Arabidopsis thaliana: one gene and its partners. The protein of the gene in region 2 interacts with the protein of the main gene of each other region in a pairwise test. Each region holds a gene or a part of one and is shown on either strand. Other genes may lie near its edges.

What was found.
Region 1: the proteins of LTA2 (region 2) and AT3G25545 interact in a two-hybrid assay, tested with the Arabidopsis thaliana proteins (one large-scale study listed by BioGRID).
Region 3: the proteins of LTA2 (region 2) and AT1G79070 interact in a two-hybrid assay, tested with the Arabidopsis thaliana proteins (one large-scale study listed by BioGRID).

The regions. Positions count from the first base shown.
Region 1 is NC_003074.8:9,275,167-9,285,722, reverse strand, and holds AT3G25545 (trigger factor), read right to left. Parts: upstream 8,879-10,556; 5' UTR 8,754-8,878; intron 8,116-8,753; 5' UTR 8,087-8,115; coding exon 7,283-8,086; 3' UTR 7,032-7,282; downstream 1-7,031. Other genes in the region: NIK2 (NSP-interacting kinase 2), read left to right, coding at 3,163-3,289, 3,380-3,509, 3,595-3,666, 3,755-3,898, 3,998-4,069, 4,158-4,217, 4,374-4,471, 4,572-4,724 and 4 more; AT3G25550 (F-box family protein), read right to left, coding at 6,136-6,192, 6,288-6,609, 6,685-6,845; TRAM, LAG1 and CLN8 (TLC) lipid-sensing domain containing protein, read right to left, coding at 9,462-9,493, 9,569-9,750, 9,832-10,017, 10,096-10,251, 10,328-10,556.
Region 2 is NC_003074.8:9,455,634-9,467,143, reverse strand, and holds LTA2 (2-oxoacid dehydrogenases acyltransferase family protein), read right to left. Parts: upstream 6,712-11,510; 5' UTR 6,513-6,711; coding exon 5,610-6,512; intron 5,526-5,609; coding exon 5,334-5,525; intron 5,212-5,333; coding exon 5,124-5,211; intron 5,037-5,123; coding exon 4,966-5,036; intron 4,884-4,965; coding exon 4,800-4,883; intron 4,664-4,799; coding exon 4,559-4,663; 3' UTR 4,131-4,558; downstream 1-4,130. Other genes in the region: AT3G25870 (uncharacterized protein), read left to right, coding at 2,967-3,479; AT3G25855 (Copper transport protein family), read left to right, coding at 6,877-6,888, 6,974-7,058, 7,295-7,536; AT3G25850 (Cysteine/Histidine-rich C1 domain family protein), read left to right, coding at 8,190-8,966; AT3G25840 (Protein kinase superfamily protein), read left to right, coding at 9,698-10,054, 10,393-11,312, 11,407-11,510. UniProt on the Arabidopsis thaliana protein: The pyruvate dehydrogenase complex catalyzes the overall conversion of pyruvate to acetyl-CoA and CO(2).
Region 3 is NC_003070.9:29,741,213-29,751,733, reverse strand, and holds AT1G79070 (SNARE-associated protein-like protein), read left to right. Parts: upstream 1-5,918; 5' UTR 5,919-5,926; coding exon 5,927-6,152; intron 6,153-6,402; coding exon 6,403-6,567; intron 6,568-6,690; coding exon 6,691-6,716; 3' UTR 6,717-7,463; downstream 7,464-10,521. Other genes in the region: AT1G79090 (topoisomerase II-associated protein), read left to right, coding at 148-2,183; AT1G79080 (Pentatricopeptide repeat (PPR) superfamily protein), read left to right, coding at 2,902-4,632; AT1G79060 (TPRXL), read right to left, coding at 8,671-9,861.

The DNA of each region.
Region 1 (10,556 bases), 180 kb from region 2:
TGAATCAAATCTTATGACCCTGGTTTTTTTCAAAAATAATAATATTATGACCTCTTTTTTTCAAAGAAAAAACATAGGTTTTAAATTATACAAAACAAGGTTAATCACAAAAATTATAAAAACTATATTATAATTATTTCCCACTCATTTGAGGGTATAGAACTTTTATCAGTGGGAGATCTGCTAATTAATCCCACTTTTGTTTTTCTTTTTCTCTTTTTCTTTTTATACGTGAATTCTGTTTTTTCTTTTGATTGTGCTAAATGAAACCATAAAGAATTCATCTAAATTGGATAGAAAATTAGGACACACATAAGATGTACATGACACAGTCAATAACATGATTTTTATACTATTAACCATTTACATTGTAAGATTTTGATGTGGCTATATATGTTCATAACTAGAGATGTGCAATCTGATTTTGATGTAGAGTTTTTTTTTTCCGGTTGCTATCATTCTTATGCATATATTTGATGCTTATAAGTCCATTTCATATTTCCTTTAATTTGTTTTTATAGAGGAAAATTTCATTAATGATTTATTTCATGGACTAATACAGTTTTATTCGAAAGACGAGCAGATAATTATAACAAAATAATCAACGAATCATAATTAATATCAGTCAGTCACTATTATTTTTTAACTGTCAGAGATTTCAAACAAAACTAATATCAAGTACAATCAATCTTGATATCTCATTATTATGCATACAAAGTTACAATGCGGTTGCAAATTCATGAGACGTGGTCAAAGAAAACGATGATGATGAAGAAGAAATAAGCAATTTGTTATGTTAATACTTAGTATCACACGTGTATCCATGCACACGACATACAAATCATGACATTATCCCGAAAAAAACCAAAATAAAATTGTAGTATATGAAATAAATGATAATGCACTAAGAAATTAGAGTAATGATGAAAGATAGAGGAGAACAGCTTTTGCTTTATAAAGCAGTTTGCTTTTGTGGTTTAAAAAGTGGCTTGTCTGTTGACTAATCACTGCGTAGACAAAGATTTGATTTTTGTGTTTGTATATAAGCTTAGCAGTTGCTCGATCCAATAATTTCTTCATCAATCATTTTTTCATTGTGCAGTAGTAAAGTAATGAAGTACTAGACTCATGTAAAATAATAATATACGCACATCCGATTGGGAACAACATGGTAGAAAAAAATATCAAATTTCCATATATGTTAATCGAAAGACAAAATGGGGGAAAATCACTATTTTATAACATTAAGTCGCATCATTATTAATTTCTTGATCAACTTAACTATAACTATTATGTACTACATTTGGTAAGTTCTTTTCAAACTTTTGTTTTCTCTAACAATTTTCTTTTATTTTAGACCAAATGTTAAGCTCTCAATCATTATTTCTTCTTTTGGAATTTCGAGTTTTGTAGTTTTCTCATTTTAACTTCATTTCGATCATATGTTTTCCGTCTTATCAAGTTCTAATTCTACCCTCTAAAGTACCATCTAATATTCCACCGCTTAAAATATCCAATTGACATTGTCACATTCGGAAGAAAAGAAAACCATCCATTTGGCGAAAGCACATGTTATATTATCAACAAACAACATTGATAAACGATATTTAATTTCAAATGGTTGACAAAACATATTTTAGCACGAATTTAGAGCATAGATAGAAAAAGGATCAAATATCTTAATATAATTAATGAATAGTTATGAAGATATTAACATATATTAACTGTGATGAGTGGGAATAAAAACAGAGTTAAAGGGAGTCATTAAAAAAGAAAAAGAAAAGTTCTAAGTCACAGACTCACAGTATATCTCATCGACACAACGAGTGTCCCACTATTATAATTTTATAATTCACAGTTTATTTAACTTTGCGTTACATCACAATAATTTTCACACTTTATCACTTCGAGGCCACTTGGTTATTCTTCCCGGAATATAAATGCTTTATTAATAACAGATTAATGGTGCTTAGTGCTTACCATATAAATTCACTTTTCACCTGCTCTAATTGATTAATAGTATGATGTATTTTTTTTTATGAAGGCTTATCTTAGGTCTAATTGATTATCGTTTGTTGCTTTCCTACATCCGAGAACAGGTTGAGTCTATTAATCCTCTAGACTTAGAACACAACCAGGTCTTCGAATCCAAATACATTACTTCAAAAAAAAGTCTAAAGAGTAAGTAACATATCTATTGATTTTATAACCCAAAAAACATATTAATTGATTTTTTGTTTTTAGTACATATTCGATTTGGTAGCATCATCCCTTTTTAAAGAGCAAGGCTGGTAAATCCACTAGCTCACACCATTGTCCATGTACCAGTATAACTATGCAACATTCAATACAACATTTCACATAATTATTTATTTTCAATATTAAATCTTAAGTTTTTCTAAAACAGTTGATTGTCTAGAAAAATACATTTTCTTCAAAGCAAATATACATAATTGAAATTGAAAACAGTCGATTGCCAATGAGTTGATTTAAAAGAAAACAAAATTATTTATTAAACCAAAAAAATCGTACATATGTAATATTTCATCATTGTTAAACTCATTTGTATATTTTTTATGATATAGATATATTTTGTTTTGTGTCTTTTTTTTTTTCACCAATTTTGTTTTGTGTCTACGATTGTATAGTAAACCATCTTTGCATTTTTGTAATTTTAAGCACTACAATATAGTTTTTTTTCAATAATTTATTCTCATATATGTAAAAAACGAAGTCGAATTCTGGTAAGAGAGACGAAATTAAATAAATGGACCCATATTTGTAGATAACTTAATATAAATCAAGTTTTTTTTTTTGTGTGCGCGAAGTATATAAACCATAAAAATCTTATAGAATTCTGTTTTTTTATCACATGATTGAAAACTAAACATTTCCCGATTTTGTCTCTGGCCTTTTCCAGTTTACAGTCTAGAGGACCATTAGATAAATAATTGGCAGACAAATCTTTCTCTTTCTCTTTCCCTCTTTAACTCTCACTCACAAATACTTCCAAATCAAAATCCTCTGTTCCATCTTTTTCTTAAAAACCTCCAAACAAAGAATCGAAAAAAAGAATATTTCTTATACAAAAGAAATAAACCTCAAACTCTGCACCTTAGAGATTAATACTCTCAAGAAAAACAAGTTTTGATTCGGACAAAGATGTTGCAAGGAAGAAGAGAAGCAAAAAAGAGTTATGCTTTGTTCTCTTCAACTTTCTTCTTCTTCTTTATCTGTTTTCTTTCTTCTTCTTCTGCAGAACTCACAGACAAAGGTGTTAACTTTGAAGGTAATGTTCATCAACAAAATCTTCCCCCACTTCTCAGTTTCTCCTTTTTTCTTCCTAAAACATGCTTTTCTTTTTTTGTTTCTTCTTTAGTTGTTGCCTTAATAGGAATCAAAAGCTCACTGACTGATCCTCATGGAGTTCTAATGAATTGGGATGACACAGCAGTTGATCCATGTAGCTGGAACATGATCACTTGTTCTGATGGTTTTGTCATAAGGCTGTAAGCACTTACACACCAACACACACACACACACACACATATATGTAATCATGTGTTTACAGTTTTTACTATTGTGTGTATGTAGAGAAGCTCCAAGCCAAAACTTATCAGGAACTCTTTCATCAAGTATTGGAAATTTAACAAATCTTCAAACTGTGTAAGTATGTTTTGTAGTAATTATTAAAACATTGTTTCTTCATCTCTTAATCACTTTAGTTTTCTAATAATTTTGTTTGGAGATACAGGTTATTGCAGAACAATTACATAACAGGAAACATCCCTCATGAGATTGGGAAATTGATGAAACTCAAAACACTTGATCTCTCTACCAATAACTTCACTGGTCAAATCCCATTCACTCTTTCTTACTCCAAAAATCTTCAGTACTTGTATGATTTTATCCATTTTTTCGTTTTGTTTATTTTATCATATTTTTTATATAAATTATTTATGGAGAGATTATTTTTGTGTTGAAAATTGTGGAGCAGGAGGGTTAATAATAACAGCCTGACAGGAACAATTCCTAGCTCATTGGCAAACATGACCCAACTCACTTTTTTGTACATTCTCTTTCTTTTATTTTCTTCTTTAAATTATATTTTACATATATAAATCTGTGTTTATATATATTTTGTAAATGTTTTTCAGGGATTTGTCGTATAATAACTTGAGTGGACCAGTTCCAAGATCACTTGCCAAAACATTCAAGTAAGTCTATTTACGAGAAAGAATATTTGTCTGCTCTGTTTTACTCTGTTCTGAGAAAGTAACAGTGTAATTGTGTTTTTCTTTTCTCTGTAATTTATCCACTTTTATACGTTACCCTAATTATATTATATAGTTTTTATTTAACTTGTTATGCAGTGTTATGGGCAATTCTCAGATTTGTCCAACAGGAACTGAGAAAGACTGTAATGGGACTCAGCCTAAGCCAATGTCAATCACCTTGAACAGTTCTCAAAGTAATATCTAAATTTTCAATATTTTAAAGTAATATTTGAATCCTAGAGAATATATCTAAACTGATTTTTCTTTTCTTCTTGTTGTTGTTGTTGTTGTTAGATAAATCATCTGATGGAGGAACTAAAAACCGGAAAATCGCGGTAGTCTTCGGTGTAAGCTTGACATGTGTTTGCTTGTTGATCATTGGCTTTGGTTTTCTTCTTTGGTGGAGAAGAAGACATAACAAACAAGTATTATTCTTTGACATTAATGGTAAGACCCACAATGACATTTTTAATCCCTTTTCGTTAACTGTTGAATGTGAAACCAGACAAATGTGAGTGTGTGAATTTTTGGGTCTTACACAGAGCAAAACAAGGAAGAAATGTGTCTAGGGAATCTAAGGAGGTTTAATTTCAAAGAACTTCAATCCGCAACTAGTAACTTCAGCAGCAAGAATCTGGTCGGAAAAGGAGGGTTTGGAAATGTGTATAAAGGTTGTCTTCATGATGGAAGTATCATCGCGGTGAAGAGATTAAAGGATATAAACAATGGTGGTGGAGAGGTTCAGTTTCAGACAGAGCTTGAAATGATAAGCCTTGCCGTCCACCGGAATCTCCTCCGCTTATACGGTTTCTGTACTACTTCCTCTGAACGGCTTCTCGTTTATCCTTACATGTCCAATGGCAGTGTCGCTTCTCGTCTCAAAGGTAGTTAATTAAACACCTTGATTTTGATTTCTTTACATGAATTGACCCGGTTTACGATTCGTGTGAATGGTTTGCAGCTAAACCGGTATTGGATTGGGGCACAAGAAAGCGAATAGCATTAGGAGCAGGAAGAGGGTTGCTGTATTTGCATGAGCAATGTGATCCAAAGATCATTCACCGTGATGTCAAAGCTGCGAACATACTTCTTGACGATTACTTTGAAGCTGTTGTCGGAGATTTCGGGTTGGCTAAGCTTTTGGATCATGAGGAGTCGCATGTGACAACCGCCGTGAGAGGAACAGTGGGTCACATTGCACCTGAGTATCTCTCAACAGGACAATCTTCTGAGAAGACAGATGTGTTCGGTTTCGGGATTCTTCTTCTCGAATTGATTACTGGATTGAGAGCTCTTGAATTCGGAAAAGCAGCAAACCAAAGAGGAGCGATACTTGATTGGGTAAGAAGTAAAAGAGTAAAACATTTTCTCTTCTTGTTTCAGTTAGCTTAAAAATACTCACTTCTAGGGTTTTTTCTTTGGGGTTACTTGTAGGTAAAGAAACTACAACAAGAGAAGAAGCTAGAACAGATAGTAGACAAGGATTTGAAGAGCAACTACGATAGAATAGAAGTGGAAGAAATGGTTCAAGTGGCTTTGCTTTGTACACAGTATCTTCCCATTCACCGTCCTAAGATGTCTGAAGTTGTGAGAATGCTTGAAGGCGATGGTCTTGTTGAGAAATGGGAAGCTTCTTCTCAGAGAGCAGAAACCAATAGAAGTTACAGTAAACCTAACGAGTTTTCTTCCTCTGAACGTTATTCGGATCTTACAGATGATTCCTCGGTGCTGGTTCAAGCCATGGAGTTATCAGGTCCAAGATGACAAGAGAAACTATATGAATGGCTTTGGGTTTGTAAAAAACATATATAAGATTGTGTATTTTGTTGTATGCTGTGATCTTGTACAGGTTTTGGTATCAGAAAGACATATTCTCATGCTTTATCCCATGATTAGGAGGAGGTGGAATCACCGCCTCCATTTCGTAGAAACGAAATCGAAAACCTCGCATGTCATCGTCGATGAGGTTTCCTCTTTTATTTTCTTCTTTGTTTTGGTACGTAACCACACTAGTTTGTATGTTCCTGTGACGCTGTCTTTTCCAAACCCGAGGCGAGAGAACTCTACCTTGTTGCTGTCTAAATAATTCTTTCGTTGAATCCTAGCAAGAGGGAGCTTCTTAGACCATCTTGTGTCTGGATTTATCACCATAATTGGCTGTTTCATGTCCACACCACTATATAAACAAAAAAGACCATCCACACTCTTGGAAAATAGTATCCGCCTCTCTTTGTGTTTCTTGCTAGTTAAATATTCTTCTTCTCCCACTAGACGACTCAAAGACCACTCCAACCTCATGGTCTTGTAACGAATGCTTGGCTTAGACCCGTTTCTTCTAACTTCATAGAGACAGAGAAATTTGGGTTCTTTTGTTTTCTGATGCAACATGTATTTCTTCCTGATTTACCTAGACTTTATCGTATGCCTCCAGTGTTTAGACACGGTTTGGAATCTAGTTAGGGTTTTCACTGGAAGCCTTACTATAATCTCTTCCAACACATCGTCGTTTGGTATCTTAATAACCTGTCTTCTTCTTCTTTTGCTTTCTCTTCCATGATGCATGATCATCTCCTGCTTCTTCTTCTCTTCTTCGTCTTCTTCTTTCGGTTTCTCTTTCAATATCTCTTGCGTGATATTCACTTCTTCTTTTTCTTCCTCTCTCTGAAGAGGACGAAGCAATCTTTCCCATGATATGTGTTGGCTTATTTTGGGATGAAGAAAATTCGTTTCGTTTTACAAAGATTGTAACCAAAACGGGGAAGTGTCTTCAGTCAAGTGGTTCCACATTTTTCACTTGAGTTCGACTCCGCTAAATTGTTGTTAGCCCAATAATTTGTGTGTACTAAGAAAAATCACAAGTCCTCACATACCTAAGAACAATGTAGAAATGAAACAAAACTGTTTTTGCAATGAGAACAACACAAGCGTAAATAAGGTCTCTGTTTTTTCCTAGTAAGCATAGAAACATGAAACAAGTGAGAAGCTTTCATTACTCTGTCTCTGAATCATGTATATAGATCAGAGTCAAGCCAAGTATCCTTTTTAAGACCAGTTCTTGAAGAATTCTTCTCCAGATCTTTGTTCACACTCGCAACATCCAAACTCGGGACAATTTTCTTCAGCAGAGCTCCGGCGAATCTTATCACTGAAGGACCAAACTCAGGCCATGAGATCACCAATGTTCCTCTTATGTTCTTTAGCTGGCACCGGCTCAAAAGTGAAGCACTCAGACCGTCGATTACACTCCCTGATGGGAAGTAATCGAGATTCACTAAACCGGTGTGAGTTGTTGCTTTCTTCTCAGCAGATGTCTCGAGTTTGGCTGCCAATGTTTCGTCTGGTGAGAGTCTACCTCTGAAGTTACGGCTCTGAATGGAATCCAAGATTATCACCCGCTCGGGGATAATGTCTTTGGCAATGAGCAATCTCGAGACTAGGTTAGACCGTTCAGGAGATACAGGAAGCTGAACAGAGACGAGGAGGGTCAAGTTTTTATCATCAGCACTACTCAAGGAATATATGTTGCAGGATTTGTCTTCTAAAGAAGGTTCCATGGTGTTTCCAGAAAACGGAACTTCAGGCATGATGAGACTTCCAAGGAGAGTCTTTGAAGGTAAACTATGGAAAATATAGAGGGAAGGTGAAGATATGGCTATGATAAGTAGAGATGGTCGGAGAGGAAGTTCAGGTTTCGGGTTTGAGAATATGATGAAAGGAGATGGAAGGGATTCAGGTGGCTGAACAAAGTTGTTAAGATCTTCTTGGAAGAATCTTGAAGGTGGAGGATTCTCGGTAAGTACATCTTCCATATCTTAGCTTTTATCAAAATCTCACAGACCTGTATCAAGACACACACACATCAGAAGAAGGATGCAAGCACTTAGATAACAATGACACCTAAACAAACAGTTCATTGGTTCTGAACAAAAAATGTAATGCCAGGAATTCAGTTGTATCCATATTATAAACCCAGCATGAAAGCACTAACAGTCGTAGGATCAAATATCTTATATTCCACATAAGAGAGACCCAGTGAGTGAGATTAGAAACACACCAAAACAGGACTAGTTGCTAAATAACCTAAATCAAACGCAAACTTCTGTTGGTTCTTGCTCATCTTATTATACTCCACCAGCAATGTAACAAAAGATAACAATCATCAAATCACAGATCTTATGCAAAGTACTACTTAAAGTAACCTAAGAGACTATAAAATCAATTCTTTTCCAGACATCCGATTCAAAATTACAATCTACTGAATCATATAGAGATCGAAACTCGAATCTTTAAGAACATGAAAACAATCCCAACTCAAAATCTCCAGTAAAGTCTCAAAATTTATACATTTCAAGAGTTGGGAAGCAAAGTATCACTTGAAGCCAAGATGTATAAGAATCGCAGCGCGAGACGACACAGGAAAAAAAAAAGCAACAAAATTTAGAGTTTTGTTCAGAGAAGGAAGTGAAAAAGACGTACCTTGTTGCAGTAGAATCGATCGATGATGATGAACAAAGAAGAGATTTTTTGTTTTTTTTTATCTTTCTTTTTGTTGCAATTGGTTTCAGTCTTCTCGGCCAAGACAGCGAGAAAGCTAAAACCTCAAACAAATCCCATAGGCGTGTCGCTATTATGTGCCGCTATCGTGCGCTACTATTGTGCGTCGCTATCGTGCGATACTATTGTGCGCCTAAAGATGCTGATTTTTTTTTCATTCATTTATGAAAAATTATTCTTCTTTTATCCTTTCCAAGTATTTTATTGGATTTTATCAAATTATGCAATGAACCAAAAAAAACCCCAAGAAAATTCATTTAGTTGTTAGTCTGTTGCATAGATGTTGAAGGGAGCTAATTTTGAGATGACATTAGTATAATGATACAAGGAATTGTGTTATTGCAAAAGCGTAAATTAAAAATTATAGAAGAAAAAACAATAGAACGTGGAGCAGTTTGATCAAAATCTTGAATTTGCTCAAACTTTAGAGAAAACAATAAACTCAAAAATTCAGATTGAGAAACCGATTCATTCAAAACGGTTTGATCCGGTTACGATCCTCTGGAAGATGATGAACCAACTGTTCAAATACTGCAATGCATCCTACTTGATGTTGAAATTCCTAGTCTCCGTGTGGTTCAGATTCATGAGATATAGAGCGTGTGCACTACTAATATTCCCAACATGCGATTAATCCTCGTGTTCATCATCGCTTTCAGAATCTGCAAAAAGACATGAACATTATTAATAGAGTGTTTTTGTCTCAAAATATTGTAATAAGAGTTTTTATTGCGTACCGGATCTAACATCTTCGCTAAGCTTGCCTCGATCTTGCACTTGTTTCACAAGCATCCGGTAAATCAAAACCCACCAGAATATGTGAAGAACAAGCAAGAAATACAAAAGTGTGTTGAACATATAGTACAAGATTGGTCCATTAGGATGCTTTTCTTTGTCCACAGTCATAATGATTTGATAGCTGCAAATCAAAACCCCACAATATATATACATCAAGGAAAAAACATTCAAGAACAAACGCTAAAGTGGATATTAAACAAACCTCGTGCTCCACAGGATCCAAAAAGGATAGTAAATGAGACGTAGAACGACCCAAGACAGCGCGAAAAGAACAAACGAAATGCTCGCGAGACTTTCCGCTCCGCAATATTTAGACATTTTCCCAATTTCAAGGAACACATCGCTCGCATCATGAAGTGCAAGAATAACAGAACCAGCACGAGTTAATCTATATCATCAACATCCAAAAACAAAACAAGAGTCAGTGTATCCTTTCCTCCACAACACAAGTGTATAATATACGTACCTGCAGATATAGGAGAGGACAATGAGAACAAGCGTTGTGATATGATGACCCATGGAAACTCCGAAATCAGACCGTCTTGTTTCCCAAAACACCAACGCGAATATAGAGTACGTGTAGAATCCAGCAGCAAACATATATAAAAACTTCAACTTCATCCTGCACACATAGCAGTATCATATTTTAGCAAATGACCATCACAAAAGATATCGATGACCATAACGAAACAACTTACTTCATTGGTTGATCAGGCCAAATCTGATCTCCAGGACCAATCCAAAAGTAGAGAGTATTTGAAAACCAAGGTTCATTATATGTGACAGATAAAGCAAGTAGCTCAGCTGATAGATAGTAAATACACTTCCAAGCTGATTCTTTAAATTTTCGAACTTTTGGACTATTTTTCTTCCTGTCTTTTATGTTGTCACTCTTATTCGTACTCATCCTTCCATAGATCACAAGAC
Region 2 (11,510 bases):
AATATAAGTTAAAATCCTTGATATATGAAATTGTACGGTTCTATTTCCGGTTAGGTTTTATTTCTGAAAGTTTTGAGATTAAGATAAAGAGAAAGTAAAATTATGTTAGTTGCACCCACAATTCACAAAGCGACTATCAACCTAACCACCGATGATCTAGTAATGTCGGAATCACGTGACGTGTACGGACATTTAAAACTTTTATTGCCTATTGATATATAACCATTAAAGAGAAACTAAAAGCTTTAATGAGCGTTTTAGATTAATTTTTTATATACGAAATATGTTTGGATCCTAATAATCCAAGTCATGTAAACAAATATGCAAGGGTTAGTAAGTACCGACATATATAGTTCTGCATCAAGCTCACAAGCTAAAGAAAATTCGAGTAAACACGAACGAACATTTTGTTGATCTTTTTAGTTTATGACCGATTCCTATAACCATTTATCAGTTTTATTTCTTTAAAGACCTACCGACGTCTGTAATTCAGAATTTAAATGATTTACGAAGTGAGTAGCTTTTCGAAATTCTTATAATTTGAGATGATTAACTTTGGCCGTCATTATTCTGAAGTATTCTCACATATGTAATAATCTTTTCTGTCTAATAACCATATACTATCATGAGTTTATGTAACAACCACTATTTAACCCATTTGTTATTTTGATCGAACGACAACTGCGATGAAGACTTCAATTGGCAGAAAACTTAATCGACGGCTGAGATGTGATGATGGAAAGTGTTCTAATATAGACACGTGTCATGTTCTCTACACATGTCCACGTACTATCTCCACAGCAAACCCTCACGCTGTCGGCCGGAAATTTCGTTCTCGAAAAATATGAAAATCTTTATAAAGATATAAATTTACGACAAAAAAAAATATATATATTGTTCGAACCACGACATGTAGTACTATTTAAAATTCAAAGATAAGAAAACGAGTTCGAAAATGAAGCAAAAAGAAAGAAAAAAAAAAGATTTGAACGAAGATAATTAATTGTTGCGAACATTTTTGGGAAATATTAATTATAAGTGTATAAAATTTTTAATGAAATTACTCTGTAGATTGTGAGGTCGTACGTCAAATTTTTTGGCTATGGGACAAATCTACAGTATTTAATCAAATTAATTGTTTTAGGAATTGCGAGTTTTAATGGGGATCTACCTACAACTTTAAGCTTCGTCGTGGCGCTAAGTGAAGACGAGAGGACGTGAAAGCGATGCGCACCAGAATCGCCTCTCAATTCTTTAATTAGAACATTACAAAACTCGTTCTATCAGAACTATACCATTTTTTTGTTTTTGTTTCTTCCCATTTCTAACAAAATCTCCATTCAATACCAATTTGACGAAAATTCACATTTCAAATGATTTATTAGTCTTTAACTTGTTTAAGAACACCTAACTAATTTTGTATTTTTATTGTTCGAATTTCTGATATTTTAACCACATAACTTTTCGCATATATTTAAAGACTATAGTTAGCTAACTTAGCTTCTACCGCCTGCCTAACCAATAATATAATTGATAAATAAAAACGCAGACTTATCTATTAATTTCATATTTTCGTGTTATGTACAATCCACAAATTGATAGACATGTAAAGAAAGAAATTGCGGTAAGAATTTAAATAAAGTCAGAATTGTACATAGCTTCTATGTATAGTTTCTTCACGCATGGTCCCGGTCTCATTAATAATTTCCACGAGTTTTTTTTTTTTTTGTTGATTTTTACATGTACATATATAGCTTCTCCATCCATGGTTCTCATAGCTCAACCACATAAAGATTGGTATAAGAATGTCTAGTTCACCAATGCAACATCTGAATACTCATTTTTCATATGGCTAACTGATCACTTTGCTCGACAGTCCCAAGTCCCAGTTATGATTAGCTATACGTACCTTTTCACTATCAGATACGTATTTATTTTTTCCAGATTAAATAAATTTTCCATTTAACAAAAAAAGAAAGATAAAATAACATGATGTCTCAATAGAAAAACCTTTAGTGCTAGGGAATTATAAAATCTGTCTTTAATCGAAATAAATAACATTTGTTCTATAATCAATTAGATTTGGCAATGATACTTAAGAATGGTGGGCCGGCGTAATTTATGGTGGGAAGTTTTGTGTACTTGATTTTGCTTTATGTACTCACGTGATGTGTTGTACAAAATTCTACATGTTCTTTGTTTTCACTCATCCTCAAGATTTCTATTATCGTAACGTTTCCTTCTTTTTATTCTTTCTTCCTTATATGCCTTGTAATATTGTTACAAATAACAATGTAACGTCTTCTACTCTCTTTTTTTTTAATACATATTTTTGGTTATGTATATTTCACTTATTTGTTGTCGGCTTGATTTAAAACAAAACAAAAACAAAACCATTTAGATGTGTTTGGTAATGATTTTAAATGCTGTAATTTGGATTTTAAAGTAACGTCTTTTTTTTTTTTTTTTTGGGTAAGGCAACAACAACGTAACGTCTTGTACTCTCTAATTATACAACACTTTTGTTTTTAATTATACAACTTTTTTGATGAACACAAAAAACCTAACTGACCGAGCATGTGTCCTGCAACGTACGTACCGAATTTTAAACCAATTAATAATAACGTTCAGAAATTAGAAAACGACATTTGAAATCCCAAAAAATATAAAACCAAATAAAAATAAAAACCAGAAAAAAAAAGAACTAGGAAAAAAAAAAGTGAAAGATCTGTGATGCCCAAACTATTCGTTATACACGCGCCAAAGTCTGCGTCTGAAATCACTCGCTTTCTCTTTCGTTACCGACTTTTATATCTGCTTCTCTTTATATCTTCTCTCCACTATAAAATCTCGTGTTTCCCCTTCTTCCGATTCTGTACCCATATCTCACGCTTAATTACAGTATTGCCACTCATTAAAACCGTACCATCTTAACCAAAGCGATAACCCGTACCACCGGTTCAGCTATGGAGGATTTATTGGAGGAGAGGCTAACTCGGACTGACTCTGTCGGGAATAAACGAGTCAGAGACGGGTTAGACCTCGACTCGCCGGACGTGAAGCGGTTAAGAGATGATTTGTTCGATGACTCGGGGCTTGACCCAGTGAGTCAAGATCTTGACTCGGTGATGAAGAGTTTCGAGAATGAGTTATCGACAACGACGGCGGCGCTAAGCTCCGGTGAAACTCAGCCGGATCTTGGATACCTTTTCGAAGCTTCTGATGACGAGCTGGGTTTGCCACCGCCGCTTACGCCACCGCAAACGCTTCTTCCTCCGTCGTGTGAGGAAACGGTGACGGAATTGGTACGAGCCTCGTCGGATTCATCAGAGGTTGGAGAGTTATGTGGGTTTGAGGATCATGTTACGGAGTTCGGACCTTGCGATCTTGGTGATGATGGGCTTTTCGAATATTTCGATGGGTGTTTAGATTCCGGCGATTTGTTTTCATGGCGGCCGGAGTTTTTACCGGCGGAGTAACAACATACCGGACCTTTTTAAAAAAGCGGGCTACGAACGGTGACGTTTTGTTAAGCGTTTTGCCTCGCTTTTTCTTTTTTCTTTTTTTTCCCTCTATTATTGGATAATAGGTATTAGGATCTATATATTTTGTTAAGTTATTAGGATTAGAAAAATCAAAATGTTTTTAGTAGGAGTAAGTGGTTTAGATTAGTTTGTAAGAACTTTTTTCTCTTCAGGAACTGTTAATCTTTAATCGCCTTTATCATTTCGTTAGCTTTTGTGTTAATGTTACAATCTTATATGATCATGGATGTATTCGGTATTCCAGAGATCAGAATTATTAAAAAGATTTTCATATCAGAATCTGAAATTATTGTTGATTACAAAAAGGTTCTAGACTTCCACCATTGCAATCCATATATATATATTTACTAAAAGTTTTTGCTAACTTATTCCTTTCCAAAAATACAATAAATTTAAACATGATTGATGTTAAAAAAAAAAAATTTAAACATGATTTAAATCATATTGTATACAACAAAATAAATAATAAAATGGTTAGTAAAAATTTAAAACACGAAATGAAAAAGGGATATTCACCCAAACAAGTTGAGTTTTGAAACAACAATGGTAATTCAATCTCTGATTAGTCCTTCTTTAGTTCTTTACAAGAATTGGGCTTGTGGTATGTTGGATTTCAGCCCTAATTGATATATGTCTAATTTTCAAATCCAAATAATGTTCGTTCTACTAAGTAAATTGAGATCTAAGCAATAGATTGCTTGGCTTGGGCACAATCTTTAAGGCCGTGCCCAAAAAAAATACAGACACAACAGATATGCCCTCAGATAATAGGCCGTGTCTAGTAACTCTCTTTTCTTAAGGCCGGTGGGCTGATTCTGGATAGGAAATTATTTGTTTAAAACCCAAAATGATGATTCTTGAAAACAAAAATACAGATACAACACAAGTGAAGAAAAAGATGCAAAAGAAGTAGAGCAAGACCAAGAACAATGAAGATTAAAAAATTTACTTGGGAAAAATTTGGCTCAGGAATTTTGGAAACTGTTTTTGACTTCTCGTCTTCGCTTGGCGTCTTATAAGGTCAAACTATCTGGATTCTCAATGATCTTTGCAAAGGTTTGGAGAAAAGCAGCCAAGTCAGCTCCATACACAATGCGATGATCTGCAGTCACATTCACCTGCCAACATAACAACAAAGCGACAATGTTACTGTTAGCATAGCCAAAAGCTATAGCTAATCGTATTTTAAACTTTCTAAGTCGAAGTGATTCACCAAACCCATCAGGAAGTTTATTAAGTCAAAATAAAACTTACCAGCATTGTGTTTTTTACACTGAAGAATCCATCCTTATCAGCAACTACAGTTGGCTTTGACGCTCCAACAGCCATAATAGCACCCTAGAGATTTGAGTATAACAATTAAGTAAATTCCTTGTAATCACTATTCATAGAAGAGGCAATGAAAGTTTCTTTCATATACCTGTCCTGGCGGAAGAATAGCGTCAAATCTATCCACTCCAAACATACCGAGATTCGATAAAGTAAAAGTTCCTGCATTCCATAGATATATCCCTTAAATCAAAATCCTTAAACACACTTCACATGTTTGTCATCTAAACAATTCGTTAAGAATAGTACCAGAGTTGTATTCATGGGGTTGAAGTTGCTTGCTTCTAGCTTTCCCCACCAGCTCTTTCCATTTTTGAGATAACAAGTACAAATCCAACTATCAAAACAACCAACACGACTCACACATTCAGTTAAAGAAACCAGCCTAATAATACCAAGTGTGTGTGTTAATTCACTCACACGCTAGCTATTTTCTACAACTTTATTGCTTATGCTTACCTTATCTGCATCTTGTAGAACAGGCGTAATCAGGCCACCATTGATAGCAACCGCCACTGCAATGTTAATGCTACTATTGTAACTAAAACTCTTCCCGTCTTTGCAGCTAGCGTTCACCACAGGATGCTGAGCCAAGGCCATCCCTGCAGCTTTAGCTAATAAAGCTGTCATTGTTACACCCTTTGGCTTCACCTGTAAACAAAAGCAGTGATTTAACATCAGCTTCATCATTCAATACAACATCAGCTTCATCTGTTTCATTCAATTCAATTTCACCTTCTCGTAAAGTGCATCAAGAGCGTCAGTGTTCACAGGATAACCAACACGGAATGTAGGAACAGAGAGACTCTCAATCATGTTCTTAGATACTGCAGATTGCATTGCTGTGAAAGGAACAATGCTTGAATCAGGTAACAGAGGAGGCAAATTAGTGGTGGTTGCTTTAGCCGTCACCGGAGGTGGAGGAGGAGGCGGTGGTGCGATGGAGGATTTGGACGGAGCAATTCCAGCCGCCGTCTCCACATCAGAAGCCGTAATCCTACCGAATGGTCCAGTTCCAGCAACGGATTCAATATCAACCTTGTGTTGTTTAGCAAGCTTCTTAGCATACGGCGTCGCAACAGTCTTCCTCGGACCATCTGATACTGCCGTCACCGGAGCCGGTTGAGCAATCGCCGGAGCAGGAGAAGAAGTAACCGGAGGAGGAGATGGAACGACAGCCTCAGCCACAGAAGAAGAAGATTTCGAAGCGGCTTTACTCTTAGCTTCTTCGATCTCAGCTTCAGTCTCAGCTAACAATCCAATCGCAGCACCAACCGGAGCTGTTTCACCTTCTCCGACGACAATCGCAGCAAGATAACCATCGTAAAACGTTTCTACATCCATATCGGCTTTATCAGATTCAACAACCACAACACTCTCTCCCTTGGCGAGTTTCTCGCCTTCTGTTTTGATCCATGACACGATTTTGCCTTCCGTCATGGTTGATGATAACGCCGGCATGAAAATTTCACGAATCTTAGATCGGACCGTCATTGAACGACGGTGAGAAGTCGCCGGAGTCGTGGAGCGGAAAACGACGCTGCGGAGGGATGGGGATACTGAGGAAGCGAATGAAATGTTGGATTTGGAATTGGTTAGTGAAGCTGTCGATAGAAACGAAGAAGAAGAAACCGCCATTGTTGAATCACAGAGAGAGAGAGATCTGAGAGAGAGTTTAGAGAGAGTGAAGTGGACGGAGAAGACGAGGTTGAAGTTCGTTGAGCGTCTTCGCCTACATTTGTATCAGTTACCAGTTTAATAACCGGATATATAATTAAACCGGATTAATTTATCTGAAACTTCGGTTTAGGTTAAACCATCTAGAAACAAAGAAAATTTAGATGCTTCTCAATGGATATTAGGTAACATAACAAAACCAGTTTTCTTATATATCTTCTCTGCTCTACCTAAGTTAGAGAATCAGATTCCAAAATCTTAATTTATAAGTATACTTTTGTTTTCTTAACCAAAAACATATCATACAATATTGCTCTTTCGTCTCATGTCGGAAAAGGTTTTGTGTTTTCTTTTATTTGTTTGAACAATAATTTTCTTGGATTTGTGATAATTTTTTTTTTTTTTGGGGTGGTGAAATGCAGAAGCAATGTTGTGTTGTGATGAGGATTAACTTGGATTGCAATGCTTGTTGTAGAAAAGCTAGGAGGATTATCATCAATATGAAAGGTTGGTTTATATTGGTTATATAAAATAATATGTGGATGAAATGAGCAAAGAAGGATGTTATGAAAATAAGATTTAAAGTTCAAGGAGGATTTTTTGAGTGGAAAATCTGAAAATTTTAGAAAGACATCGTTAAATTTTATCGATGTTACTATATGCACCATTTTATGTAGGTTTAGTCGTGGTGGATTTATAGAAAATTCAATACTAACACATGTTTTGGATACTTTTTTATGAAGAAGTTGATACACACATGATCAACAAAAAGGAACGTCAAGTAATCCTTTGCGGACGGTTTCGACCATCCGATGTTGCATTAAAACTGCAAAGGAAGATGAAACGGAGGGTTGAGATTCTCGAAGTTGAAGATCTCACCAATGGCCATGGAGGAGAAGAAGGAAGCGAGCACGAGCTACCGTATGAACAGCCACATGAATATTCTAATCAACCTGATCAGATGACCACACCATTGTTGTGTTAGATATCTCTAATTCGTTTGTTCTTCTATCCTCCAATGCCTAAACATTTGTGAGAACTATTAGAAGAAACAATGGCATATAATGACCAACACGTTTGTTTGTATGTACAAATATATAGAAAACTCTGTAGCGCAGTGCGGATGATCACCTAGTATATATAAAAGTTGATATATATTCAATGCATTACATTGTCTCAAAACAATTAATTATACGAGCGGATATGGGACTAGAAACCCGAGACGAATACGGTAAAGACAAGGTCTCGTTCCGAAATGGACATATATCTAAAATTTTGTTTGGTAATTGGGAAAAACGAAACCCAAACTATTGTTTAGAACATTTGGGAGAGCCGAGTATATAAACCTTTTACAATACACATCATTATTGAAATCTTAGCTTTCTGAAATTCTAAATGTGAGTTGGTTACCACAACTAAAATAACAGCCCAATTTTACTCATATTTTTAAATGGAGGGGAAGACTTCAACAACACAAGTGAACAACAAAAATGCCTACGACTATCAATGACAATGAGGATCACTAATGAAGAGGCCTTACAAGAGAAATATTCAAGTGAAGCTTTCTTCTTTCTTTTCTTTTCTTTTTTTGATTGAAATTTATGCTTTCTAGATTCACCCAATCCCCACACACTCACCATGACCGAAAAGAAGTTTCCTTTTCACGATCATCCTTTAGCATATGAGAAATTGGACAGATTTTCTTGCATTTTGTGCAAAAAGAAAGGTGGTTTTGGCTATTTCTGCGATAAGTGCTATTTTTGGGGGCATAAGGAATGCATCAAGCGCTCACTTCTGCATCCATCTCCATGCAAACATTCTCTCAAAATCTACACACTCGAGGCATTGGGCTATGCAGGTGACCATTGTCATTTTTGTAGAGATTATCTTCTTGATGATTTTTTTCATTGTTTGATATGCAACATCAACATGGATCTCAAATGTCTTAAAGATCCACCACCATCAAGTATTTATCACCCAAAAAACCATATGCATATGCTTACTCTTTTGCCGAGAGTGGTCACATTTACTTGTAATGCATGTAGCGTAGAAGGTAAGCGTAATCCTTATGTATGTCTTGAATGTAATTTGATGTTCCACAAGGATTGTATATATCTACCACGAGTTATAAGCATCAACTGCCATGATCATCGCATTTCTCGCATTTTTCATCTTGGTCTCGGAGATTGGAAATGTGGAATCTGCCGACAAAAGATTAGTTGCTCCCATGGAGCTTTTACATGCTTGCGTTGTCCTAGTCTTGCATTTCATTTAAAATGTGCGATGAAAGATGACGTGTGGGATGGAAAAGAATTCGAAGCTGAACCCAAAGAAGAGCTTGAAGATGAACTCGAAGATGATTCCGAAAAGGAAATTGAAGATGATAGTTCTGAAGAAGAAATCGAAGAACCATAAAACTAATGAAAAATAAATATTGGCGTGTATGTTATGAGAAATTCATTTTAAAGCTTGATGCGGATTCTGTTAGTGACAAACTGACAATGTGGTGCAACGATTGTGTCCAACAATGATCCATTCTTTTTGTATACATAATGTTTGACTCTTGACCAAACGAAGAACCCTGAAGTCTAAAATTTTGTCTATGACTCGTCATTAGTAATTCTAGAGTTAATGGAACATGACCACATTAGCCTAACACATGATTAAAGGGGCCAAACTCATTTTTAAAAGATTTTGAAATAAATTATTACAATTACAAAAGAAAATTAATTTATTGAAAAAATTGTATATAAATGTCTTCCTGATTTCTACCATACCAAAAATATATATTTCTTCCTGATTTTCTATGTAGGAGTTTCAAGATTTAAATTTTAAAATATGGCATATCAAATTTAACACTAGTAATATGGAGTCATATCTCAAAATTGTTTTTTATACCAATTTCACAAAACCTTTTTTATCTATATATGTAAAAATGTTTTAATCATTTGTTAAAGAAATAATAATGATCAACCTCTATGATCTAATTCAATTTTGTTGCCTTAAATAAAATAATACACATATGCCACGTTTGCCTTATTTACATAAAATCCCTTTAAAAAGATGTTACAAGCAATTCTGGTCGCGATTCTATACCAAAATTTCTTGAGCCTTAACCCTAATTTCGATTACGACGATACTCTCTGATGGCGAACGATAAGCAGATCGAATCTCACCACCGCAAGCATCACCGTTCATCTTCGTCGTCCGATGACACTGAAAAAGCATCGAAACGACACAAGCATCGTCATCACAAGCATCATCACCACAGGCATCGCCATCACCGAGATAAGAAGCGCGAAAATGAAATTCCATCCGCCGGCGATGAGACAGAGATATTGGATGTTACTCCGGCGGCTCCAATTGTTGTTAGTAACGGCTGTGAGGAGGAGGATGTGGAGGAAGGAGAGATTTTAGAAGAAGATGGGATTGGTGATGTTTTGATGAAGACGGCAGATTCCGACGGCGAATCAGGCGAAATCAAATTTGAAGATAATAATCTGGTCTGTTCTAATCCCTCTAATACGTCTTTTTCTTCCTAAATTCTGTTTGGATTGTGGGATCAGAGGGGTGGATTTGGGTTTGATTGATTTTTTCATATTACAAACAGCATTTACGCCTGAATTAATGATAAAGCTTTGGTCTTTTGAGAGTTTTCTTTAGATAACCTGAGTGTTGCACTAGGCGTTCAATGGAGACTGATGGCTTTCGCTTGATTTGTAAGAACTGGTTTTATGTAGATGTTCTTTTTCCCTTTTTTTTAATTGTATGTTCTTGCGTTTTTAGTGTCATGTATTTCTCTTCTGGTAAGTATTCTGAATATCTTTTGCGATGCTTTCAGCCTCCACTTGGGGAAAAAGGGCGTCAAGGAGAAGAAAAGAGTTCTAATGGTGTTCTAACTCGTGAATCTGAAAGGGAGGATAAGAGGTGGGATAAAGAAGCTGGAGGTCCTTCAGAGAGAGTTAGTAAATTAAGTTATGATAATGGCAGAAGTTCGTTTTCTCCGTCAAACAGCAGGCAGTCTAACGAAGGCCGTGCCCGGAGTAGATCTAAGTCACATGATCGGGAGAGAGAAACTTCTAGGTCAAGGTTTGCGGAGGATGAGTTTTCGGACAGAGGAAGACATCATGATTCTAGTAGGGATTATCATCATGACAGAGTTGACTCAGTTAGGACTGAGGAAAGATATCATCGACGTGGGCGATATGAGGAAAATGACAGGCAATATAGTCGAGAAGTCTTGGAAAGAGATAGAAGTAAGGAGAGAGATATGGACAGGGAGGGAAGCATAAGAGATAGGGATTCGGAAGGAAGTAAGCGGAGAGATAAAGATAGTGATCGGAGGAGGGAAAGAGAACGAGAGAAGAGAAGGGAGATAGAGTCTGACCGTGAAAGACGAAAAGAGAAGGAACGAGAGCGCAGCATTGATAGGGATAGGAGAAAGGAGAGGGAAGGAGATTATTTACGGGATAGAGCCAATGAGAGAGGTAGGAGTAGAGATAGAACCAGGTATAACAGCAGAGAGAGGAAGAGAGAAAAGGAAAGGGAGGGTGAAAAAGATTGGGAGAGAGGAAGAGAAACCCAGAAAGATAGGGAGAAGTACATAAGTAGTGATGTGGACTACGGTGAGATGAGGCACAAACAGTCTAGAAACACAAGATATGATGCGGTAGATGACCTAGAAATGAGAAAGCCAAATTCTTTGAAGGCCCATAATTCTAAGGGTGATAAGTTAGAAGAAACGTGGGCCAATGATGAAAGGTAATTTTTCAATAACCTCATCCTTGTTAATGTTTTGTTGTAGATCAGAAATCTTTTGGGTATCTTGTGTGGCTCGTAACTATTTTGCGGTCAGGTCCCGAAATGAGGATGGTCAAGATGATAATGACGAAGGACTTACATGGAAATCTCCTGAGGAAGAAGAAGAAGAATTACTAAATAGAATCAAGGAAGAGAGCA
Region 3 (10,521 bases), on a different chromosome or scaffold from region 2:
GATTTAGAGTGAGCTGTTTTAACTCCATTCTCCTTATCCATATGTTTCAACGATCTGCCCTGGTTTCTTATACATTCCCATGGTTTTTCATCTATCTTGCAAGCAAAGCTTTAGTTTGTGGTTTAACATTTCAATGGTTTCTCTCAGATTCTTTAGCTGCTGAGTGGACCCATGGGGAAGAGTTACCAAATTGGTACGGCCGGCAAATACTGGACTCTGATGCCATTAAAGATGACAAGGTGTGGTCAGCACAGCCATTTTCATCTCTGGACCGTGTTGAGCAGAGAATCCCTGACAGAACAAAATTGTATCCAGAACCACAACGTCAACTGCATCAAGACCATAATCAACAACAGTTTTCCAGCGAACCAATTCTTGTCCCGAAGTCATCTTTTGTTTCATACCCTCCTCCAGGCAGCATATCACCAGATCAGCGTTTAGGACACCCTAATATACCATATCAATCTGGTGGGCCTCAAATGGGATCGCCAAACTTTTCTCCTTTTCCAAATTTGCAGCCTCAGTTGCCTAGCATGCATCATGGATCACCGCAGCATACTGGAAACAGGCCTCAGTTTCGTCCTGCTCTTCCTCTGAATAATCTCCCTCCAGCTCAATGGATGAATCGTCAAAATATGCATCCTGGGGATAGTTCCGGGATCATGAATAATGCGATGCTACAACAGCCTCCTCATCAAAACGGTTTGATGCCTCCACAGATGCAGGGCTCTCAGAATAGGTTACCACATCCGATGCAGCCTCCTCTCGGGCATATGCCAGGAATGCAGCCTCAGTTATTTAATTCCCATCTTTCTCGATCATCATCCTCTGGAAATTATGATGGAATGCTTGGGTTTGGTGATCTGAGGGAAGTAAGACCAGGATCAGGTCATGGGAACAGACAGAATGTGCGTTTTCCCCAACAAGGCTTTGATGCTGGCGTTCAGAGAAGATATCCATTCCGGTCTAAATATATGTCAGCTGGTGAGATAGAGAATATACTGAGAATGCAGCTTGTTGCTACACACAGCAATGATCCTTATGTTGATGATTACTATCACCAAGCCTGTCTTGCTAAGAAATCTGCAGGTGCAAAACTGAAGCATCATTTCTGTCCAAATCATTTGAGGGACCTTCAACAGCGTGCACGGTCGAACAACGAGCCCCATGCTTTTCTTCAGGTTGAGGCTCTTGGTAGGGTTCCTTTCTCTTCAATCCGCAGGCCTCGTCCTCTGCTTGAAGTGGACCCTCCAAATTCAGCTAAATTTGGTAATGCAGAGCATAAACCTACGGATAAGCCCCTTGATCAAGAGCCGATGCTTGCAGCTAGAGTGTACATTGAGGATGGTCTTTGTCTCCTCCTTGAAGTTGATGATATAGATCGTTTCTTGGAGTTTAACCAACTCCAGGACGGAGGACACCAGTTGAAACAAAGACGACAAGCATTGTTGCAGAGCCTTGCGGTTTCACTTCAGCTCGGTGATCCCCTCGCCAAGAATGGGCAAAGCCAGTCTCTTGATGATTTTCTCTTTCTAAGGGTTATCTCTCTTCCAAAGGGTCGAAAGCTACTTATAAGGTATCTTCAGCTAATTTTCCCTGGCAGCGACCTAATGCGGATAGTTTGCATGGCCATTTTCCGTCATTTAAGGTCATTGTTCGGAGTCCTTTCATCTGACCCCGATATCATCAAAACCACAAATAAGCTTGCAACAGTTATCAACTTGTGCATTCAAAACATGGAGTTAGGACCGGTAAGCACGTGTCTAGCAGCGGTGTCTTGTTCTTCTGAGCAGGCACCGCTCCGCCCCTTAGGCAGTCCTGTTGGAGACGGAGCTTCCACAGTATTGAAATCAATACTCGACAGAGCTTCCGAGCTTATCCGGGCTAATAATTTCAACAACGCAGGGATAGCTCTATGGCGCGCTTCCTTTAATGAGTTCTTTAATATGTTGATGAGGTACTGCATCAGCAAATACGATAGCATCATGCAGAGTTTGCAATTGCCACCGCATTTTGCCACTGAGATATCTGAAGAAGCTGCAAAAGCCATTGTCCGCGAAATGCCAATAGAGCTTCTACGTTCAAGTTTCCCACACATTGATGAGCAGCAAAAGAGGATACTGATGGAGTTTTTGAAACGATCTATGCTCGGAAGCCAGAAAACCGAGCCAGTATTAAGTTGATAGGATGAAGATTGAAACAGTAAAATCAAAGAAACTGTATGGTGAAGTCTGTATATGAAGGCATAAAGATCACGCAGATACCGCGGGAAGAAAGGTAGAGAGAATCGATTCAAACTATTTCTATTTGCATCAGAGAGTTAGGATTCTTCCTTCAAATGGACAATACTGGTTTTGTGTCTTATAGGTAAAAGCAGTGGAGAAGAAGTTTGGTCTCTGTACAGAGAAAAAAGTCTTTAGGTTTTGCAGAACTTATGAAGAGGTTTCAGGCATTTGTATTTCTGTCTTTTGTTTAGTTGATCTCATTGTCGTTTCGATATTTGTTTTTGAAACCTTGTTTATGTTTTTGATAAATTCTCTTTCCTTTTTTTTTCTTACTCTGTTTTACCAATAAACATTCTGAGTTATGCTTTGGTAATGATTACTCAATTTGTTCTTCGTACCATCTTCTCTCACAAGCTCGAGCATTCACGTTTCGGCTAAAAGAGTGGTGTACACGCGCATGTTTGGACGCGTTGATAACAGAGGCGGAGGAAAAAAGGAACCAAACCTTTCGGATCTAAAGAAGAACACAAGAATGAAAAATAATTAGATTGAATTTGATTTAGGATCAGAGAGTGGGAAAGTACATAATGATCCTTTTCTTTTCTGGGTTGTTCGTAAAACCCAAAACTTTCATTTCATCTCCTTCCTTTTTCTGATTGCTGTCCGATTTTAAGCCATGTCGACTCTACTGAACTCAGTCTTATCCATGGCGTCACCGGAATCATCGCCGAGAAAAGCCGTAGGTTTTGTTTCCCACATCCCTTCTGGTTTCCTTCATTTCTCCTCCGTCAGTAAAGGTGTTGCTAGGGTTTTAGCTTCGACCCAGATAACATTATCCCCTAAAGACTCCGCCTTTACCATTACTGGATCCAGTTGGAAACCCGATTTGGATTCCGGGTCGTTTTCTGATGACCCGAGAAGCGACGAGCCGAATTTGAGCGATAGTTTCTCTCATCTAGAAAGTTTAGTCACGGGAGGGCATAAACCCAATGTAGCTCATTCTACTCAGCTCTTGTACGATCTCTGCAAAGCCAATAGATTGAAGAAAGCCATTCGTGTGATTGAGCTTATGGTTAGCTCCGGGATTATACCCGATGCATCTGCTTACACGTATTTGGTTAATCAGCTTTGTAAAAGAGGTAACGTTGGTTATGCGATGCAGCTTGTTGAGAAAATGGAAGATCATGGTTATCCTTCTAATACCGTTACTTACAATGCCTTGGTTCGAGGTCTTTGTATGCTTGGTAGCTTAAATCAAAGCTTACAGTTTGTTGAGAGGTTGATGCAGAAAGGCTTAGCTCCAAATGCTTTCACTTATTCTTTCTTGCTTGAAGCAGCTTATAAAGAACGAGGAACCGACGAAGCTGTGAAGCTCTTAGATGAGATCATTGTGAAAGGCGGTGAACCCAATTTGGTTAGCTATAATGTGCTGTTGACTGGTTTCTGTAAAGAAGGGAGAACAGACGATGCCATGGCGCTGTTTAGGGAATTACCTGCAAAAGGGTTTAAGGCAAATGTTGTGAGCTATAACATTTTGTTGAGGTGTTTGTGCTGTGATGGGAGGTGGGAGGAAGCGAATTCGCTCTTGGCTGAGATGGACGGTGGAGATCGAGCTCCTTCAGTTGTTACCTATAACATATTGATCAATTCGTTAGCTTTTCATGGAAGAACAGAGCAGGCACTGCAGGTTTTAAAGGAGATGAGCAAAGGAAATCATCAGTTTAGAGTCACTGCCACGAGCTATAATCCGGTGATCGCCCGTCTGTGCAAGGAAGGAAAAGTTGATCTTGTTGTGAAATGTCTAGACGAGATGATATACCGGCGTTGTAAACCAAACGAAGGAACGTACAATGCAATAGGTTCGTTATGCGAGCATAACAGCAAGGTGCAGGAAGCGTTTTACATAATACAGAGCTTAAGCAACAAGCAGAAATGCTGCACGCATGATTTCTACAAAAGCGTAATCACGAGTCTCTGCAGGAAAGGTAACACCTTTGCAGCGTTCCAGCTCTTGTACGAGATGACTAGGTGCGGGTTTGATCCCGATGCGCACACCTACTCGGCTTTGATCAGAGGGCTGTGTCTGGAAGGGATGTTTACAGGAGCCATGGAGGTTTTGTCGATAATGGAAGAGAGTGAGAATTGTAAACCTACAGTGGATAACTTTAACGCCATGATCCTAGGGTTGTGCAAGATAAGGAGGACAGATTTGGCAATGGAGGTGTTTGAGATGATGGTTGAGAAGAAGAGAATGCCGAATGAGACAACATATGCGATACTCGTTGAAGGGATAGCTCATGAGGATGAATTGGAGCTGGCTAAAGAAGTTCTTGATGAGCTACGATTGCGTAAGGTTATAGGACAGAACGCAGTAGATAGGATTGTAATGCAGTTCAATTTAGATTGATGGGTAGGAGGCGAAGATAACGAACACCATGAGGCTTTTTTCTTTTCTATAAAACTTTTAGTATACAGTATTTTTTCACTGTTTGTATCATTTTTATGGAGACGATGATTCATGTAATCTTCAGGTTTAGAACAACAGATCAGAGATCAATAAGAATCAAGTAACACACACACATTGTGCCTAACATCTTAAAGATCCGATTGAAACAAATGGAGACAATGTGTAAATTCTAGCAGCGAATAGGTGTAGACGATGAAGTAAAGTCTGAAACTTTCTTTTTGATTAAAATCTTAAACAAGTCTGAAACATAAAAGGAAGCTTATAGTAAGAACAATGTTTGCAAGAGAGAAAGGGAGAGAAGCAAGAAACAGAGTCGCATTGTCTTCAAAGGCAAATTTACTTAGAACGCTGTCTCATCTTTCGTCTCTTCCTCTTAAGCCTCCTCATACGCTTCTTCTTCCACTGCAAAAGAAAAACAAAAACCATTCACTAAACCCAAACTAGGATCATATTGTATGGATCAGAATTGGCTTCTACTCACCCAAAAAAAAAAAAAAAAGAGGCAATGATCAACCATAAAATTTACATAGTAGGAGAGATCAAGATAGTGAAATTGAAATCGTAAATTCAACAATAACCCAAAACTTGATTAAAATCCCAACATTCTCTTCCATCAAGTACAAATCACACATAAAATGATATGATCAATATTAGGAGAGACCAACATTGTGAGATATAAAACTCAACTGTTACAAACCAGAGTATCTCATTTCATACCAAATCTTCCAGAAAACAGAGCTCTTATATCAAATCCCAAATTTAACAATAACCGAACTTTTGATGAAAATCCCAACATTCTCTTTCGGCAAGAGCAAAACCATGAGTAGAAATCACAATCCTAATCAATAAATTTCAATATCCTACAGGTCGTGCTACACTAAACCAAGGTTTCAATCTCACTCGACTGATTCTATAAACAGCAATTCACAAAATTCCCAATATACTTAAAGATCAACACACAACATTTTTGATAAAACCTACAGAAGCATAGCTAAAGTTGTAGATAAAAAACTGACCTTGGCTCTCATCTTGTCGCTCTGAATCGAATCGGAGAAATGAAGGCGTCGTTAAACATATATACACACACACACATTTGTAGAAAAGCCCTAAAATATCTGAATCGGAAATACATTAACTTCTCAGGGCTATTTGCGTCATTATCCACACAAGGCTCTTTTTCCTCTTGAAGAAAACCTTAAAAAACCAACAAACTTTAGGAGAGCCTCGCCGGGAAATGGAGCAGCTATCAGACTCGGACCACCGCGATTCTGCTGATGCAACTACTAGCTCATGTCAATCCACCACCGCAGAAGATGGTCAATGCGGCGGCGGCGGAGAAGCAATGGCTCGAGGCTTATCAGCGATGCTCGAGTCCGTCATTAAAGACTTTGACTCTAAAGCTCTTGACACGCTCAATAGCCAAGATGAACTCTCCGGTTCTCTCGATCGCCTTGTCCAAGGTACAATTTAACCTCTTCCCGAGATTCGTATTTAACTTAATTGGTGAAATCAATCGATTCACAAGCTTCGTCTCCGTATTTGTTAATTAGATTACGCACAAATCAATCCAATTGATCCGATTAAGTTTCTTAACCATTATATTGCCATTGGTCTAACAAAATTGCTTAAGAATTGATTCTTGTGAAATTTTTAGATTGGATAGTGTTTTGTTTTTTCACACAACAAAATTTGAATGTGATGGAAACACAGAGCTAGATCAATTACTGGAAAACGCTCCATTGCCATTCATTGTACAACACGCATCGAGAATTTCCAGCGTCAAACAAAGAGTTTCATCTCTGAATCTTGTTCTTAAATCTGTCCAACGACGTATCGATAACATCGATCACATGCTCTCTGCCAACACCACGCAAGGTTATAAATGCTTTTATCAAAACCAAATCCAAAATTTTATTAGTTTTGGGAATTTGTGAACTCACTACTTCGTCATCTATATATAGTGCATTATTATCTCACTTTGTTTTCACTGTAACACAGAGAAAGCATCCTCGGAAACTACATGATGACGAAACACTTACTCACTCTCTGTTACTCTGTCACTCTCATCTTCGGATTTGGGAGCAAACCCAAAGAGGTGAGTGTTTTTGTACAAGCGCAAGTGTTTTCTCATATTGTTGTGTTATTGGGCTTTTAAGTGGGCTTTTATTGGATCAGTTCGTTTCTAGTTTAGAATACCCAAGTTTCATTTTTTTATTTAGATTGTTTTATTATAATAGATAAGTAATTGTTATTTTGTATCGTTGCAAGCTCTAATTCGATGAACCACATGGTCCATCAATCAATCATGTAGAACAGAATTTTCAAGTGAATATGTCGGGTCGTTTTATTTTATTTTATTTCGTTTTGGTTGCATTGTTGCCTTGTTGGTAATAGGCTTTACAAAAATTAATATCTAATAATCATAAAATCTTGTCACGTGGGTCTACGACAAAATCGATAGGAGGATGCCCGTATATAACAGAGTCACGTGTCTTCTGCGCTGGGTCACGTGATTGAATGCCTATATAATTGGATCTCGTAGGCTTTTAGTTTTTAGATGTCCTAGTGCTCTCTCTGTAGACTACAAGCTTTTCATAAGGAGGAGACTACATGGGCCACAACTTTCTTTAGTTGATCGATAATTACTATCTTCCTTCTATAAAGAACCATGTTTTTTTCATTATTATGATTAAACTTTCTATTTATGTGAACGATGATGATGGGTGTGACTTGTAAGGGTGTTAATAGTTAATGATGATGCAGAAGAAAAGAGGTAAATTAAAACTATGGAAGACCGAGCCTCTGACCAAATATCTAATTGGTCCGTTTAGTGGGTACATCCATACAAACACAAAAACCTAAGCCCCATTTCGGGAACTCTTCTAAAGTATGTCTTAAACCCACAAAACTAGCTTACTTTTGCTCTTTTATTCGCTGCTTTTACAAATCATGAGCTGCAAAGTAATGACTAGTAAGTATCATAGATGTTACTTTCAAGACTATATACACTTTTTTTTTTCTCAAAATGGAATTTGATTAGAAAGCCTGTACCACAAATGCTGTTAGGGTATTTTAAGTAAGTGAGTGGAGGAGAAAGGGGACCAAAGAGAGAAGTACAACAGGAGGGATAGAGACAGGTGAAAGAAGCTTAGGGGGTCTTGTACTTGTACAATCTCTATTGCTGGTCCAATCTATCATTTTTTAATACGACTTAATAGTAGTCTTTGAACAGTTTGGTACCTTTCACGTACCATTATGATAATAAGGTCGTGAAATCCTGACACTTAAACATGTGATGATTCAAACCGAAGACCACCAATAGCTCCAACATTAATGGTTAAACGAACCTTCCTTGATTAACAAAACAACAACCAACGAATAAATAAACCGCAAAAAAAAAGAAAAAAAAAAAACTCAAAATAAAGAAAGAAAGAGAAAAGTGTGGTAAAGTCTCTGAAGACTGCATCATTTCCGAAACACAGAAAACGACAAAATAAACTATATAATAAAAAGATACATTAAAAATAAAATCACATGAAAGAGACAGCTTAGATAAGCTTCAACGTGGGGAGAGCGCAAATACACGCAGAAGAAGAGCATATGATAGAGAGCAAAAGAATCTGTTTCCTATGTTCTGACCCACGCGCATCCCTTTAGCGCGTCTACCTCACTCTCTCTATGTGTCTCTCTCAACCCAAGCACAAGCAAAAACACACAATTTAGGAGTCTCCATTTCCAATTTTGTGTCTCTATCTATGTCAATGAACCCTAGAATTACACTTCACCAATGGCAGATTCTTTATTTACACACCCAGGACAATTCTAATACCTTATAAAAAAAAAGCTCTGTTAAAAATAAGATTTGTTGTAAACAAACCAAAAAACAGAATGATTACTACTAGAGTACTAGCTAGCTACTGTTGAATCAATACAGTGTTGTTGTTACCATTGATGGTTCCTTCATTTATAATAGTCGGGTTAGATTCGATCCGTGGAGTTACGGCCTCTACTGATGTGACACGACGCTCTATTATTGTTGTTGTTCCCTGTTCTATTGTTCTGCGACGAAGATGAAGATGACGAGGAAGAGAAAAACTGACCAAAGACTACTGAACCACCTCTGATTGAGCAAACGGGAACGTTCAAAACTGGAGTAACCCTAACGTTTGAGCTATACGATCTCTCCATTCCTCTGTGTCTATACCCGCTTGTTCCACCATTGAAGCTACTCGGACTGCTTGAGCTTCGTTCTAGATTCTGGAACACGATTTTACCTGAAGAGTTTAGTCTTGGACTGTCTACAGAGACTCCTCTGTTCATTATGGCTGATGTTTCTCCACCGGAACGTCGCATCGGACTGCGTCCAACTCTTCCTCCTCCGGTTCCTGATGTTGAATGGTTCACTAACCTCATTCTCGGTGGATTTGGGTTTAGGCTACGAGCCGGAGCAAATGGATTCGCAGTGAGATTGTGGTTGAGGTTAATGATGTGGTTTTGGTTAGGTCTCTCTGCATCGAGAGAGAGTCTTGGAAGATCTTCGTGGTCATGGCCAGAGGAGGAAGAGGAGAGAGACATACGAGAAGAGGATATAGAGACAGATTCGGAATCGGAATCTTTGAGGAGAGGAAGACTCATGAGTAACGAAGCATCTGAAGAGGACGACGAGGACCTGGAGCTCCGATGCAAGAACTGTTTCAACGACGAAGTTGACGATCTCGGATTCGTCGTCGTCGTCGTCGCAGTCGACGCGGATTTGCTGCTATTCTGAGAGAATCGTTTGAGTCCTAACAAGTCCCTCCATCTACTTGAACACCGTGGCGCCTTTGGAGAAAACGAGCAATTATCGCCACCCCCGGAGATCTCAATCTCCACGACTTCCATCCTCCTGCATTTCCCGCCGATCTCCGTCGTCTGTTGTTGTTGCTGCTTCGTCACGAGTTTACCGTCGGAGAAAAGCTCATCGGCTGGGAGCATTCCGACTGGATCCTCCTCTAACCTAAACTCGAAATCACCAGCTCCGACTGCTGTTTCCTCCTTCGGAATCTCCGATGCGACGGATCCAGAACTCCGACCACCGTCGTCACGGCTGAAAGAAGCTCGTGGATTGAAACATCCGTAAGTAGGAAAATCCTGAGAAACAGTAACATTGTTGACGCAAACAGAAGCCATCACCGGCGTTCATGCAACAAACTTATCGCCGTCGGGAGAAAATCAACGGCCAGATCCAAACGAGAGAGAGAGAGAAGAAAGAGAGAGGTTTATGGATGAGTGACAATGGTTTGTTTGGAGCGTTGTGAGTTTGTTTTGGAGAGTAGGGGCCACGAATGCCATCCACAGTTATTATAAACGACCCAGGTGGCGCGTGCTTCTCACCGCACTAGTGGGGGCATTCACGGTATTTGTTCTGTTGGAGCCAATGGCGGAGCCTCTCGGATCAACGGCTAATTCACAGATTAGTAACTTTTTAATTAACTTAATTGTCTTTCTTTAATGGAAACTATTATTATCTAACTCTGGAATATTCCAAAAAGTTTACCTTATAAATTTGGGAGACAAAACCTTTAAAAATATTTGTTCATGAATCATACTAATACAGAAGGAAAAAAGTTGGAGGTTGGTAATCATTAATGATTAATATATAGGTCACGTGATATAAGGGGTTATTTTGATTATCAATAAATAAGGTCATCGAACAGCTAGCGATAAGCTGTGTTGATCAAGAGTATGGATAAGCGGCCACGGGATGATAAGCGGGAAAAGTGACTATTCGCTGAGAATTTATGTGTTTTGATCGGAGAAATTAGACAACTCGTAATCTCAAAAGTTTTC